Linked DNA regions of Anolis sagrei. The protein of the gene in region 2 interacts with the protein of the main gene of each other region in a pairwise test. Links are inferred from orthologs where the notes say so. Each region holds a gene or a part of one and is shown on either strand. Other genes may lie near its edges.

What was found.
Region 1: the proteins of TRIP10 (region 2) and WAS interact in a two-hybrid assay, tested with the Homo sapiens proteins (2 studies listed by BioGRID). The link is inferred for Anolis sagrei from reciprocal best matches to the Homo sapiens genes TRIP10 and WAS.

The regions. Positions count from the first base shown.
Region 1 is NC_090022.1:194,030,980-194,039,367, forward strand, and holds the start of WAS (actin nucleation-promoting factor WAS), read left to right. Parts: upstream 1-5,322; 5' UTR 5,323-5,596; coding exon 5,597-5,710; intron 5,711-8,388. UniProt on the Homo sapiens protein: Effector protein for Rho-type GTPases that regulates actin filament reorganization via its interaction with the Arp2/3 complex. Important for efficient actin polymerization. Possible regulator of lymphocyte and platelet function.
Region 2 is NC_090022.1:171,013,440-171,021,732, reverse strand, and holds the start of TRIP10 (cdc42-interacting protein 4), read right to left. Parts: upstream 3,146-8,293; 5' UTR 3,020-3,145; coding exon 2,996-3,019; intron 1-2,995. UniProt on the Homo sapiens protein: Required for translocation of GLUT4 to the plasma membrane in response to insulin signaling. Required to coordinate membrane tubulation with reorganization of the actin cytoskeleton during endocytosis.

The sequences.
Region 1 (8,388 bases), about 23 Mb from region 2:
TTCATGGCAAAAAATTGCCAATTACAATCTTTATTTTCCACCATTGAGGATGGAAAGGAGATGTCATTCGGATTTTCTACCTCAAGTACTAAAATGGCTTGGGTTGCTTTAACACACTGAAGGATCAAGTGAAGAGAATAGAGGAATTGGCACAGAGTCCCATCTTCAATAAGTTCCCTTTGCAAATCTGATCAGGATCTGTGCCAGCGTGACTTTCTAGGTTTGCAACCTTCCCAACTCTGGTACCCATTGGCTTCTCTTCTCTTTTTGCAACTCTAGTTCTTTAGTCTTGTTCTCTTGCCCCTTTTTATACCGATATCCCAAACTCGTCATGGCTTCCATATAGGTCGCTGTATTATTACCAGTACTATTGCATCAACACACCACCTAGTTTTCTCCAGCTGTTAAACATTCTTTGGCACTGTTGCAATAAGTCGTGATTTGTTAACTTAGAATGGTGGGTGTCCATTTTAAGTTATTGGAATTGGAAATATCCTTTGCCAAGTGCTAAAAATGTGTTGCTATTTCATTATAGTATGGCCTGTACAGCCGCAGTGGTCACCCCATATCTCCTGAAGCAAAGTCTGAGGCAGTCTGCTCCACTATCAAATAGCTCATACTTTCTGGAGGCCCTTCATAATGTTTAGTATTTCTCAATTGAACCAGTTAATTTGGCTTTTACCTTCTGGGGAAAAACAAAACCAAATTTTTAGTGATGGTGGGAGTTGTAGTCCCAACAGATATCTGGATGGTATGCATTACAGGATGAAAAGGGCTGTGTTAATCATGTCATATTAGTCATTATTCAGCAGCACAGCACACATTGCTTTTACTTGAAATGTTTCATAGTATACCTGTTTCTTGTTTGGGCCAAATTACTTGGTCTGCTAGCACAAGGTGGGCAGTGCACAGCCTTCAAAGTGATGGACCAGAGGTTCTTTCAATCCTTACTGGGATTGTCAATGCTGAGGGATTTCATGGATTGTAGGTCCAACAATATCCAAAGAACGCATATTGCTCACCCCAGGACTAGCAGCTTTGCTTTTTTATTTTATTATTATTATTTTGTCATGTCAGGAACAACTTGAGAAACTGCAAGTCGCTTCTCGTGTGAGAGAATTGGCCATCTGCAAGGATGTTGCCCAGGGGACGCCCGGATATTTTGATGTTTTACCATCCTTGTGGGAGGCTTCTCTCATGTCCCCGCATGGGGAGCTGGAGCTGATAAAGGGAGCTCATTCGCGCTCTCCCTAGATTCGAACCTACAACCTGTCAGTCTTCAGTCCTGCCGGCACAATGGTTTAACCCACTGCGCCATCAGGGGCTCCAGCAGCTTTGCTAAGTGTATTATATATGTATATTTGAAATGGCAAAAATATGAAGTTCTTTGGAACTCCAGAAATACATTGCATTTACATTTCTGCAATGGTTGCATCCTTCCCTAAAACTGTCAGTAGTCTGAATCGGATGGAAATCCTTGTTCACGTAATATGGTCCACCTTTTTACATTGGGACATATGCTGTGTTGTTCCTGCTCAATTCATCTGTTGTAGTAGCCCATCATGATGATGAGACAGTTAAATTGTTACATTGCATTATGATTGCTTTTCCAGTACTTTCTGTTGTTGTATAAAGGGGTGGGCAAATCCTCCAGATTGATAATAAAAGGGGACAAAACTTCAGCATGTCCTGTCAAAACACCTCTTCAAATACGGTAATTTAAAAATAATTGGAAACAGTTACCTTTGACAATAATATTTTGCTTTTGTTTTTGAAATGCTGGAAAAGTTAATTTGGAAAGTGATTTGTTTTGTTAAGTCATTACAGTGGCTAAAAAGTAACCCATTGCAATCACTCATCATTATATTATTCTATAATGTTGATGGAAAATTGCATTTCCTACTTTTCTCATTTCATTTCCAGTATTTTTTGTTACTTTATAAGGGGGAGGCGGCGAAACTCTCCTCACCAATAAGAGAGAAGCATAAAACTTCAAACCGTCCTGTCAAAATGCCTCTTGAAATGCGTTAACTTGAAAATAATTAGAAACTGTTACTTTTTACAACAATATTTTGCTTTTAGGGTTAAAACGTAATTTTGTTATATTCTTGATACATTGAGACAACTGATTATATTTAACAACCTTGCTTAATTGGTTACTTTCAGCTTTTGTGACAAATGTCTGGGGTGGCTCCTGTCTGTGTGGCCGACCCATCCAGGTTTACATTTCTCTTCATTTTCACAGGGTGTTTGTGTCTCACTACAATTCCTCTTCCTCACATGGTGTTTGGGTGACTGCAGGTTGCCATTACCCTTTTCCATTCTCTCTCTGGAAACCTCAGGATTTCTTCCCATAGAGACTTAACAGCTCTTGATTCTGGTTGGGGTCGGAGCAGGTTTCATGTTTAAGGGAGGAGGGAATCAGATTCAAAATGTGAAAATGGATGCAAGGACACGGTATTTGTTTAATTTTGGAATGCAATAAAACTGTTGACTTTCAGGAGAAACAATCATGCCATGGATAATGTCTTTTGTTTGTTTTTAATGCTTATAATACCATCAATCAGATGTATAGGAAAACAATATAATGTTGCTACAGCTCTTTTAATTACATATATGGCTATATGCTCAATTGTATGTAAATACTAGTGTATACAGTGTTCCCTCGCTATTTCGTAGTTTGCTTATCGCAGACTCGCTGTTTCGCGGGTTTTTCTTCAGTCCTCCCTCTTTTCCTCCAGCCTGTCTTCATTCCTTTTACTGTCTACATTGAGACCTGTCTCCATTCCTTTTAAGTTGAGACCTGTCTCCATATCTTTTACTTGCCCTTTCCATTCATTTCATTGGTGGCACTCTGACTCTGGCCCCTCCGCTTCTGCCTCTTTGCTGCTGCTGCTTCCTCCTCGTCCTCCTTCTCAAGCCCGACCCACAAGTGCTACAGCAAGCGGCCCATCAAGGCCACCACATCCTCCGGCCCCGGGTGAGCGCCAGGAAGGGAGGGAGGGAGGGAGAGACTCCAGTGGGGCCATGTTTCAAGAAGGAAGATGATTAGACACGCAATGAGGAAGCACACTGCACATGCTCAGGAAACCTTGGCACCACTTGAACTGAGGGAGAGAGGAGTGGGCGGAGTGTCCCTACTTTGCGGATTTTCACTTATTGCGGGTGGTCCTGGAATGTAACACTAGCAGTAAGTGAGGGAACACTGTATACCTGATGTTGCTTGAGCGTCGTTGGGACCACTGCTTACCTTCTTTCTCCCTTCTCCAGCTCTGATAAGGCCTTCTTTGCAACTTCTTCATGGCAACACTCAAGCAGTGGTAGGCAGGCTACCATTGTGCAGGCTACCATTTCCTTCCTCCCCCTCATACACATGTCAACTTCCTCTCTCAGAGACATCACAGGGGATCACCTAACCTAGCAACAGCCAGTCCAGTGAAATCATAGAGGGCCATTTCACCTAGCAACAGTCTTTGTTTTACAAGCATACATACTTCGACATGTGCGTGTGTGATAAGTGTTTGCTGCAATGTTTGCCAGAAAAACAGAAGGTGGGGGGAATGCTTCCTTGCATTGTGTCTTTTTATCCCAACCAATGAACACATTTAGTCTTCATTGGCTCTGTGTCTTATATGAGAGAGAAAGTTCTGTTTGTGAAAGAGAAAGTGTTCTTCACCATTTTTCCTTCCTAAGCCCATAGCCAGAAATACTGAGTTGGGCGTGATCCAAATATAATCAAGGGACCAAATTAAAAGTTAGTGAGATGCAATATTAGCAAATAAATTCATTCCTAAATAGGCTCACCATCCTCCTTGATTCATAGAGTTGGAAGAGACCATGTGGGCCATCCAGTCCAACCCCCCTGCCAAGAAGCAGGAAATTGCATTCAAAGCGCCCCTGAAAGTCATCCAGCATCTGTGTAAAAGCCTCCAAAGAAGGAGCCTCCAGCACACTCTGGAGCAGAGAGTTCCACTGATGAACAGATCTCACAGTTAGGAAGTTCTTCCTCATATTCAGGTGGAATCTCCTTTCCTGTAGTTTGAAGCCATTATTCTGTGGCCTAGTCTCCCGGGCAGCAGAAAACAAGCCTGCTCCTTCCTCTCTGTGAATTCCCTTCACATATTTTTACATGGCCCTCATCATGTCTCCTCTCAGCCTTCTCTTCTGCGGGCTAAATATTCTCCTGCATCTATTAAATAGGTACCTGGGCAGAACATACAAGCATGGGCATGCCAGTCTGATGAGGCCATGTACCAGTTCATTTCTAATCCAGGAAAGAATCCCAGAAGTATGTCTCTACTGCTAGTTTTCTATCTCAGTCTCATAGGCATGGACTCAATTTTACAACTTCCCACCTAATTAAACCTATTTTTGTGTTTGGGACACTTGCCTGTGCTGTTTTAAACACCAAAATCTCATTAAACCTCCAGAGTGCAAACAGCATAGTTTCAGGTTTTTTCTTAGGATTTTTGCATTGATTTTTTAATATCTTTTATGTGTGGACTTTGGCAAATGCATTTTTAAAAATAAAGAACCTTCCTTTTTCTCCCCCCTCTTTCCAAGATGGGAGGTGGCTCATCATAAAAACGTTAAGAAGTAACGACATACAAAAAGTCTGCCAGGAAGTTCATTCTAATTGAATTCAGCCAGTTAAGAATAATTCTTTTTGGGCAATGGCAGGACCAGATTCAAGAGCAGGAGAAAGTATTTTTTAATCCATAACACCAAGAATAGTCCACATCTTTGATGCTCACCTCATGTTTCTGCCCCAACTTTCATTCAAGATAACTTTGAATGAAAGAAAACAGGGCAAATAGGATTTGAAATCTGATCCTCAAAGCAACATTTGGAAGAGGATATATGTTAAAAGGCTGTGATCAAAGCTTTAGTGCTAGAAAAGCAGAGTGGTATTCTGGGCAACTACCACAAGGTTTTTGTGGTTGAATGTTCCCTTAACATTTGCTGTTTGTCATGCAACTAACACACACACTGCCATTCCATTGTAACTATTAGATGCAATTAGATGCAAATAGTTACCATTACCATTAGATGCAATGCTAATCCTTTCCATTGCATCTAATGAAGCAAACTTGAGTCCACAAAAGCTGGTTCTAGTATTTTTTTCTCTCTCTCAGTCTCAAAGATGCAACATGATACTTGGAAACTTTTGTATTCCCCTGCCAAGTCCAAGGTGGGTAGAAATCTTTAGTGCTGAGTTCAGAATAAACCCTGCCCTTAAAATATGTTTTTGGGAACTGAACAACAGTCATACCTATTTTCACAAGCTTCAAAAATATATGTACTGAATCTGAGGTGCCATAGGAGTGAACTCTGAGCTAATTGTTGTTTCTCAGAGCAGAATCATTTGTTTGAGGTGTCTCCTTCATTCTGGCCCACTCTCGGCCTGTTGGTAACTCAGCCATGCTCAGGAAGGACTTACTCCAGGACTCTCATGAAGCAAGATGGGGAGTCTCTTTCTCTCTTGTCTCTGTGGCCTGGTGGTTTCCGAACTTCCTGTTGTAAAGAGAAAAGGCCTTGCAAGACGGAAGTTCGCTCTGGGTGAGATCATCCAGAGTCGTCTTTAACGGGGCCCAAGATGAGCCGGAGGCCCAAACCAGGAGCCAGGACACAGCAGGAAAATACACCATCTAACCTGCTCCAGGACCATGAGAACCAACAAGTGTTTGAACTCCTGGGCAGGAAATGCACGGTAATTCTGGCTTTGTTCTCGGATAGAAAAACTGCAAACAGAATTCAGAAATCTGTCTGGGGCAGAGGGAGGAGCAGGGGGAGGTGGTCGACTGGATTTCTTGGACAAATTTGGGGGATCTAAGTGATTCGAGCATTCAGTCTGGCACAGGAGTAGAAGGACTCATGGTTATGGGCAAGTACCTTCCTTAGAGCAGTGGTTCTCAATCTTTCGAATGCCATGACCCCTTAATACAGTTCCTCATGTTGTGGTGACCCCCAACCATAAAATTATTTTCATTGCATTGTAATGGAAATATCTGATATGCAGAATGTATTTTCATTCACTGCACCAAATTTGGCACAAATACTCGATATGCCCAAATTTGAATATTGGTGGGGTTGGAGGGGGGATTGATTTTGTTATTTGGGAGTTGTGGTTGCTGGATTTTATAGTTAACCTATAATCAAAGAGCATTCTGAACACCAACTATGGAATCGAACCAGACTTGGCACACAGAACTCCCATGATCCCATGACCAACAGAAAATACTGGAAGGGTTTGTCGACATTGATCTTGAGTTTGGGAGTTGTAGTTCACCTACATCCAGAGGGCACTGTGTATTCAAACAGGTGGATCTGGACCAAACTAGGCACAAATACTCGATATGCCCAAATGTGAACACTGGTGGAGTTTGGGGAAAATAGATCTTGACATTTGGGAGTTGTAGTTGCTGGAATTCACCTACAACTTCCAAATGTCAAGGTTCGCCTACATTCAAAGAGCATTCAGAATTCCACCAATTATAGAACTGGGCCAAACTTTCCACACAGAACCCCCATTGCCAACAAAAAATGCTGTGTTTTCTGATGGTCTTTGGCGATCCCTTTGAAACCTCCCTCATGACCCTCCCAGGGTTCCCGACCCCCAGGTTGAGAAACACTGCCTTAGAGCCTGACTTTCCTGTCACTGTCAATCAGAGGATAAACAAGGAGATGTTAGAAAATGTGTTTGATCAGTAAGGGGGGGGGGGGGAGTTCAAATGCCGAGAGATACGATAGAATTTAACTCCCCAAAATGCATCAAGATCGTTGATCTTTTTGGAGGATCCTCTATGCAAAAAATAATGTTGCATCTTAACAAACCTGACAAGCAACTGTTTATTGGCTGCTAAAAAATTAGAAGAGGAAAATGGTAAAAGAAGTGGCACTGATGCTTTGTAAATTCATAAACCAGCACTTGATGGGAAATGGATCAAATTGAAAAATCTATAGGGAACAATGACAATCAGCAGAGTCCAGACTTCATTGTTTTGCCTAGAATATGGCTTGCTAAAATAATAGATGATTTTGTAAAATACAGTTTTGTTGTTTCAAGCAATAGTTAAGTTCTGACATTTGTTTGCCTGGGCACATGATCTATTCAGCTCCTGCAAAATACTTTCTCCTCAAATGCATGGAGGCCATGTTCACCCAGCTTAAAAAAATTGGAACGTGTTGGGTGGCTGGGGACTTGTGGTAAGGATTAATGTGGCCTTTCGTAGGCACAGTCTCTCCCACGAATAGGTCTTCCCCCACCATTTCTCATCTGCAGACAACCCCTGCCTTTCTTTCTTGTTCAGATATCTCAGGTTCCTTCCACACAGCTGAATAGAACCCCACATTATCTGCTTTGAACTGGAATTTATGGCAGGGTGGACTCAGATAACCCAGTTCCAAACAGATATTGTGGGATTTTCTGCCTTGATATTCTGGATTATATGGCTGTGTGGAAGGGCCCTCAGATAACCCAGCTCAAACCAGATATTGTGGGATTTTTCTGGGTTATATGGCTGTGTCGAAAGGCCCTCAGCCTCTACATTTCTCTAATCTGGTGCCTTCAAGATGTGTGATTTCCTATCATGCCAACATGCTGGTAGCAAATAAAGGGATTTATTGACCAGTGCCTTTAGTGAGCAACTGGCTGGAGGAGACATTTCCATATTTAAGGTACTCACTGTCTTGCAATAGTTTGGAAATAAAATTAAAGCCAATCCACTGGGCAAGAAGCCAAGTACATCTTCACAAGAATGAAGGTTTTTGTTATGTTTTGTTGGTCTTCGCATTTTTACTTCATCTTCCATGAATAGAAGTGACCGGAGAAGTTCGACAGTGAAACAACAACGATGCAGAAGGAAAGAATTCTAGAGCTGTCTGTTGTTTCTGTAAACTGCCTTGTCTTCAGGAAATGGAGAGAGAAAAACCACTTCCTCAGTGTGGTGGTGGTGGATCCGGCAATGATGACATATAGCGGGTCTAGAAGTGGGAGAGAGGGCGAGTCATTACCATCAAAATAGGCCCTTTCAGAGTTCAGAAATACACAAGGGTAATATCCTTTAGTAGAAAAAATGTATGCAGTCTATTCTTGTTCGATAATGGTGTACACTTTATTTTGAGACCATGCCTACTTGTAAACCAGTTCCACCATCAAGACGTTGAAGATGGTAGTTTCTGAGCGGGTTAATAGCTATTTAGAGGTTGTTAGCCTACTGAGTGGTTAAATCTTCTACAGCATGCCCATATTTTAAAGAACACTGTTCTTTTTTCATTGCAAAAAAAAAAATCTAAAAATATCAACCGTTTCCAAAATATCATGTAAAATATATATAATCTCTGCTCCAAATCGTAAGTTCATATAATGCACTCACTTATTTGAATCTG
Region 2 (8,293 bases):
TGAGTATGCATGCCCAGTGTGGAACATATCTCACCACACTAAACCAGTGGATGTGGATCTTAATGAGACATGCCGCATTATCACGGGGTGTCTGCGCCCTACACCACTGGAGAAATTACACTGCTTAGCCGGTATTACACCACCTGACATCCGTCGGGAAGTAGCAGCCAATAGTGAAAGGACCAAGGCAGAGACATCTCCAGCTCTTCCCTTGTTTGGGCATCAGCCAGCACGCCAACAACTTAAATCAAGAAATAGTTTTCTAAGATCTACAAAAACACTTGCTCGAACACCTCAGCAAGCGAGAGTCCAAAAGTGGCAGGCTCAAACCCAGAGCCTCAATCAATGGCTGATACACAATGAGAGACTCACCCCTGGAAACACAGAAAACTGGCCGACTTGAAAGGCGCTGAACAAACTGTGCTCTGGCACCATGAGATGCAGAGCCAACCTTAAGAAATGGGGCTACAAAGTGGAATCCACAACGTGCGAGTGTGGAGAAGAGCAAACTACAGACCACCTGCTGCAATGCAACCTGAGCCCTGCCACATGCACAATGGAGGACCTTCTTGCGGTAACACCAGAAGCACTCCAAGTGGCCAGATACTGGTCAAAGGACATTTAAACAACTACCAAGCTTGCAAACTCTGTCTTTTGTATATTTGTTTGTTCTGTCAAAAATGTAATACTCGTGTTGCCTGACACGATAAATAAATAAAATAAATCTCCCCGATGTGGACTCGGAGCGGCTTACATGGGGCCAAGCCCGGACAACATAATACAGCAATGAAATCAAAGCATATACAAGAGACAACAACAACATTATCAAAATGACATTAAAATAATAATAATAATAATAATAATATAAATAAATAAATAATACACATATTCCCTTTACAAGCAGATTGCATATCCCATCAAGTGAGGTGGGAAGGCCACGAATTGGAAGTGGAGCCCACCTATGCCCTCTCGAAAAGAAAAAAGGCACATGGGGGGCAGAGAAAGGAAGGAGAGAGAAGACAGCGAGCCAAGGACAGAAATGCATTCAGGAGAAGCTCCTACACTGTAGAACGGATGCAGTTTGGCACCACTTTGAACTGCCATAGCTCCATCTGAAGAGGTGTCCTTTGGTGAGGCACCAGTATGGTAGAGAAGGCAAAATACTTGATAAATCTCAACTCCCATGATTCCATAGCACGCAGCAATGGCCTTTCAAGTGGTGCCAAACTGGCTCAAGGCTACAGAACCCCGGGAGTTGCAGTTCAACCAGGTCTTCAGCCTTCGCTGACAAAGTGTGCTGATTCCTCATCAAACTACACCTCTCTTGATCCCGTAGCATGGAACCATGGCAGTTGAATGTGTGTGAAAGTGCATTCATTCTGCAGGAAGGGAGGGAGGGAGGGAGGGAAGAAGGGAAGGAAGGAAGGGAGAGAAGGAAGGGAAGGAAGGAGGAAAAGAAGAAGGAAAGAGGGAAGGAAGGTGGAGGGAGGAAGAGAGGAAGGAAGAAAGAAGGAAAGAATGAAGGACAGAAGGAAGGAAGGAAGGAAGGAAGGAAGGAAGGAAGGAAGGAAGGAAGGAAAGGAGGTGAGGAAGGAAGGTGAAAGAGTGAGGAAGGGGAGGAGGAAGAAGAAAGGAAGGAAAGGAAGGCAAAGAAGAAAGGAAAGAAGGAAGGGAAGGAAGTGAGGAAGGAAGGTGAAAGAGAGGGGGGAAGAGAGGAAGGAAAGAAGGCAGGAAGGAAGGCAAGAAGGGAGAAGGGAGGAAGAGAGGAAGGAAGGAAGGCAGGCAGGCAAAGAAGAAAGGAAAGAAGGAAAGGAAGGAAGGGTGAGGAAGGAAGGTGAAGGAGAGGGAGAGGGAGAGAGGAAGGAAAGAAAGAAGGGAGGGAGAAGGGAAGGAGAGAGGAAGGAAGGAGGGCAAAGAAGAAAGGAAAACAGGAAGGAAGGGAACGAAGTGAGGAAGGAAGGTGAAGGAGAGGGGGAGGGAAAGAGGAAGGAAAGAAAGAAAAGGAGGGAAGGAGGCGGGAAGGAGAGAGGAAGGAAGCCAAAGAAGAAAGGAAAAAAGGAAGGAAGGGAAGGAAGTGAGGAAGGAAGGTGAAGGAGAGAGGGAGGGAGAGAGGAAGTCAGGAAGGCAGGCAGGCAGGCAGGCAGGCAGGCAAGGAAGGAAGGAAGGAAGGAAGGAAGGAAGGAAGGAAGGAAAGGTGAGGAAGGAAGGTGAAGGAGAGGGGGAGGAAGAGAGGAAGGAAAGAAAGAAGGAAGGAAGGAAAGAAGGGAGGGAGAGAGGAAGGAAGGAAGGAAAAGAAGAAAGGAAAAAAGGGAGGAAGGGTGAGGAAGGAGAGGGGGAGGGAGAGAGGAAGGAAAGAAAGAAAGAAGGAAGGAAAGAAGGGAGGGAGAGAGGAAGGAAGGCAAAGAAGAAAGGAAAAAAGGAAGGAAGGGAAGGGTGAGGAAGGAAGATGAAGTAGAGGGAGAGAGGAAGGAAAGAAAGAAGGAAGGAAGGAAGGAGGAGGAAGGAAAGTGAAGGAGAAGGAATGAGAGAGGAAGGAAAGAAGGAAGGAAGGAAGAAAAGGAAAGAAGGAAGGAAGGAGGTGAGGAAGGAAGGAAAGAAAGAAAAAAGGAAGGAAGGAGGTAAGGAAGGAAGGGAAGAGGGAGGGAAGGAAAGCGGGAAGGAAGGGAGAGAAGGGGGAAAGGAAAGAGAGCGAGGGAGAGAGAGAAGAGGGCGAGCCAAGGACCGGGGAGGAAGAGGAGCATTTGGGGCGGAGTGGGGAAGGGAACTCGAACAAATCCGTGCCTGGGAAAAGCCAAAGCTTTGAAGGCAAGAGCAGGGCGCCTGGCGAGGGCTTGCTCAAGAACCTGGGCGAGGGAGGCGAGGCAGAGTGGCTGGAAGGAAGCCGAGGGAAGAGGGCCAAAGTCTGGGGGTGGCGGGGGGGGAGCGGGGCGAGGGCGCTGGGCGCAGAGCCCCCCCCAGAGCAGGGGAGCAGGGAGCCCGCCCAAAGGAAGCTTACCCATAGCTCCGTGCCCCAGTCCATGCTGGCAGCAGCCGCGTCCTCCCGAAGCCCCAGCCGCTTCCACCGCCCTCCCGAGAAGGAGTCCCACTCACTCCCGGGGCCCCACCAGCTCCGCCGCCTGCCCCGGACACGCCCCGAGCGGCGGCCTTAAAGGCGCAGGCAGGCCCGAGCCGGGGCTGCCTTGCCTGGCCAAGGGGAGGCCCTCCCTCAATCTCTCCCTCCCTCCCTTCCCTTTCCCAAGAGGAGAGCCATGCCAATGGAGGGGGCTCCGTCCTTGGGGAGGCAACTTCCAAACTCTCCTTCTCTCTTCCTTTCAAAGCTCAGCACCACCACTTGGGCTCATTGGGAATCAACAGTCTCTTTGGGGGAGCCTGGATCCTTGGGCTTCAAAGCCTGTTGAAAGGTGGTGGTGGGGGGAGCTATTCATGACCAGAATCACTGGGTTGTTGTCAGTTTTCCGGGCTCTCTTGCCACCTTCCAGAAGCATTCTCTCCTGACGTTTCGCCCACATCTATGGCAGGCATCCTCAGAGGTTGTGAGGTTTGCTGGAAACTAGGCAAGGGAGGTTTCTATATCTGGGAAGACCTGGCCCTTGAGCATTCCAACTGGAGGTCAGCTGTGACCAACAGTGCTGTGGAATTCAAAGAGACACAAATAGAGGGCGAAAAAGAGAAGTGTGCTAAGAGGAAGAAGGCATGTCAAGCAAGCAGAGGTAATTTTCAACGGTAAGCAAACAGTATTTTGCCCCCCCCCCCCCCACAACCAATCTTCTATATAAATAAAAATATAATGTTAGTTCGTGCTGCCATCAGAACTCAAAAACCACTGGGGGAATTGTCACCAAATTTGGACACAAGACACCTAAGAGTCCAATTTATGTCCTTCACTCAAAAAAAATTGATTTCGTCATTTGGGAATTGTCGTTGCTGGGATTTATAGTTCACCTATATAAATAAAAATGTAATGTTCGTTTGTGGGATTAACATAACTCAAAAACCACTGGATGAATTGACACCATATTTGGACACAAGACACCTAACAACCCAATGCATATCCTTCACTAAAAAAAATTGATTTTGTCATTTGGGAGTTGTAGTTGCTGGGATTTATAGTTCACCAGCAATCAAAGAGCCTTCTGAATCCCACCAACGATGGAATTGAACCAAACTTGACACACAAGACTCCCATGACCAACAGAAAAAACTGGAAAGGTTTGGTGGACATTGACCTTGAGTTTGGGAATTATAGTTCACCCACATCCAGAGAGTACTGTGGACTCAAACATTGATGGATCTGGACCAAACTTGGCACGAATATTCCATATGCCCAAATATGAGGGAATAGACCTTGACATTTGGGAGTTGTAGTTGCTGGGATTTATAGTTTACCTACAATCAAAGAGCATTCTGAACTCCACCAATAATGGAATTGGGCCAAACTTAGCACACAAGACTCCCATGACCAACAGAAAAAACTGGAAAGGTTTGGTGGACATTGACCTTGAGTTTGGGAATTATAGTTCACCCACATCCAGAGAGCACTGTGGACTCAAACAATGATGGATCTGGACCAAACTTGGCACGAATATTCCATATGCCCAAATATGAACACAGATGGAGTTTGTGAGAAATAGACCTTCACTTTTGGGAGTTGTAGTTACTGTGATTTATAGTTCACCTACAATCAGAGAGCATGCTGAACCCCACCAATGAGAGAATTGGAGCAAACCTCCCACACAGAACCCCCATACTTAAGGCCACCCAGTCCAATTCCCATCACCAGGGCAAGAAAAGCTCTCCTGACAAAGAGCCATCCAGCCACAGATATTGATAGATATATATGATTCACATACACTCAAATATAGTATTATAATTTGGAAGTGACCTCTAAAGAAGGGCAATTATATGTTGCATGTTCCAGAGCAGGCAAACCAGACAATCTCCACATCAACATTGACAAAGAAACAACAAGAAATACTGTTTACCCACAAGCTTAAATATATTAGAAACCAACACTTTCACATTACTTTATTTTCCAGACTGGGCCACAGCAACACGTGGCAGGGGACAGCTAGTCAACAATAAATTAAACACATGTAGACTAAAATACATAAAAGTCAGTTCATCAAGATAAAATCATGTCCAACTCAGTCCACATATGTGGTTGACTGCACTGAAATGACCCCAAATTACTTTACTCTAATCATCATGAGGAGGGCGACTAAAATGATCAAGGATCTGGAGAACAAGCCCTATGAGGAGCAGCTTAAGGAGTTGGGCATGTTTAGCCTGAAGAAGAGAAGGCTGAGAGGAGATATGATAGCCATATATAAATATGTGAGAGGAAGCCACAGGGAAGGTCAGGAGGGAGGGAGCAGAACTGATCTCAATCGGGAGAGAGTTTCATAGCCCAGGGGCCACCCCATAAAAGGCCCTGTCTCTCATTCCCACCAGACGCAACTGCGAGGGTGGTGGGACTGAGAGCAGGGCCCCTCCAGAAGATCTGAACAGCCTTGATGATTCATAGGGGAGAATATGTTCAGATAGGTAAACTGGGCCGGAGCCATATAGGGTTTTGTAGATTAAAACCAGCACTTTGAATTGTGCTCAGAAGCTAATTGGCAGACAGTGGAACTGGTGCAACAGAGGAGTTGTGCGCTCCCTGTACCCTATTCCTGTTAGAATCACAGAATCATAGAATCAAAGAGTTGGAAGAGACCTCATGGGCCACCCAGTCCAACCCCCTGCCAAGAAGCAGGAATATTGCATTCAAATCATCCCTGACAGATGGCCATCCAGCCTCTGTTTAAAAGCTTCCAGAGAAGGAACCTCCACCACACTCCGGGGCAGAGAGTTCCACTGCTGAATGGCTCTCGCAGTCAGAAGGTTCTTCCTCATGTTCACATGGAATCTCCTTTCTTGTAGTTTGAAGCCATTGTTTCACGTCCTAGTCTCCAAGGAAGCAGTAAACAAGCTTGCTCCCTCCTCCCTGTGGCTTCCTCTCACATATTTATACATGGCTATCATATCTCTTTTCATCCTTCTCTTCTTCAGGCTAAACATGCCCAGCTCCTTAAGCCGCTCCTCATAGGGCTGGTTCTCCAGACCCTTGATCATTTTAGTTGCCCTCCTCTGGACACATTCCAGCTTGTCAATATCTCTCTTGAATTGTGTTGCCCAGAATTGGACACAATATTCCAGGTGTGGCCTAACCAAAGCAGAATAGAGAGGTTGCATGACTTCCCTATATCTAGACACTATGCTCCTATTGATGCAGGCCAAAATCCCATTGGCTTTTTTTGCCGCCACATCACATTGTTGGCTCATGTTTAACTTGTTGTCCACGAGGACTCCAAGATCTTTTTCACACATACTGCTCTCGAGCCAGGCATCGTCCCCCATTCTGTATCTTTGCATTTCGTTTTGCCTTCCAAAGTGGAGTATCTTGCATTTGTCACTGTTGAACTTCATTTTGTTAGTTTTGGCCAATCATCTCTCTAATCTGTCAAGATGGTTTTGAATTCTGCTCCTGTCCTCTGGAGTATTGGCTATCCCTCCCAATTTAGTGTCGTCTGCAGTCTTTTTTTTTTTTTTTTTTTAATTAATTTTTTATTAAATTTTTTAAATGAACATAGAAAGACAATAGAAAACAATACAGGTCATTCAACCGCACTATGACATTCATAATCCACATTGATCCTATCTAGCTAACTACCTAACATAGATCCTCTAGTACAAAAAACATACGATACAATACAAACATATTTAAAAACAAGTGGCTTGCTGCCACTATTGGACCTCCATCTCTCTCTACTACTGCATTTCTGTATAAAATTTCTCTCTTGCTATTCGTACATTAGTCTTGTATGTTTTCTTTGTCCTAAGGAGCCCTATCTTATCTTACTATAACTTCTTACTTAGGCATACATAAATGTTTCTTCTCGCATATCGAAAGAGTTCTATACATTTCCATTATATTTTCTATCGCTTAACTTTCCTGTGGTTGTTGCTATTTCTAAGCTATTTCAATTCCTCGTAGTCTCCTGTATAAGTCCTGTGTCTTGTTTTTATTTGTAGATATTAAACTGTTAGCAGATTTATCTTTTTTCCCCGAAGCCATTCTCTGACCGGGGTCCAGTTCGTTGGAGATATAGGCATGTTGCGTGAGGCTGACAGGATATACGTTAGATGGTCTGCGTTCATTATATCTAGTATTTTCTCTATCCACTCTTCCTCCGTTGGTAATGTCTTTTGTCTCCAGACCTTGGCCAGTAATAAGCGGGCTGCCGTTATTAGGTGGATGAACAATTTTTCTACCCCTTTGTCCCCCATCCCTCCTGTTAGTCCTAACAGGAAGCATTCCGGTCTAAAAGGGATATTTTTCTTTATTATTTGTTGGCACTTCTCGTGTATTAGTTTCCAAAAGTTGTTAATTCTCACACAGGACCACCACATGTGTCTATAAGTCCCTTTCTGTTCTCCACATTTCCAACATGTATAGCACATCTGTTTGGAAAACTTCGCTATCTTAGCTGGGGTTAAATACCACTGATGCGTCATTTTCACCCAGTGTTCTTTCAGATAGTAGGAATAGGAATAGTTTGTTTTACTGTTCCATACTAGACTCCACTCCTCTAAAGAGATGGATCGCCCTATTAATCTAGCCCAGTTTATCATATATTCTTTAACGCGTTCTCCCTCCGTAGACCATTCTAGTAATATCTTGTATGCTTTTGTGATATATTTTTTAGGGGAGTCCAGGAGCCTATCCCAAGCTGTCGGGTTTTCCATAAAGCCTAGTTGGTTGTCTTTTTTAAAGTGTTCTTTCAACTGCCAATGTTGTAACCAGGTGATGTTGTTATACTGCGTTTTTAGTTCATCCTGAGTCTTAATCCTAATTTCCTTTCTTTCCCTGAGTAGTAGATCTTTATATGTGGGCCATAAGCCCCATCCCAGTTCTCTCCTTTGGTGAGCCTCGAGAGGGGAGACCCAGAGCGGTGTCTTGGGGTACATCCTATCTTTGTATTGGTCCCAGACCTTTAGTAGAGCCGATCGGATAAAGTGGTTACGAAAGTTCTTTTCCACTTTTGCTTTGTTGTGCCATAAGTAGGCATGCCACCCAGTTCTTAGGTCGTGGCCTTCTAGAGTTAGTAATTTTTTGTTCTTTAATAATATCCAATCTTTGATCCACTCTAAGCAGCTTGCTTCAAAATATAATTTTAAATTTGGCAGTCCCAATCCTCCTCTTCTTCTTTCATCTGTCAGGTTTGTCATGTTAATTCTAGGTTTTTTGTTA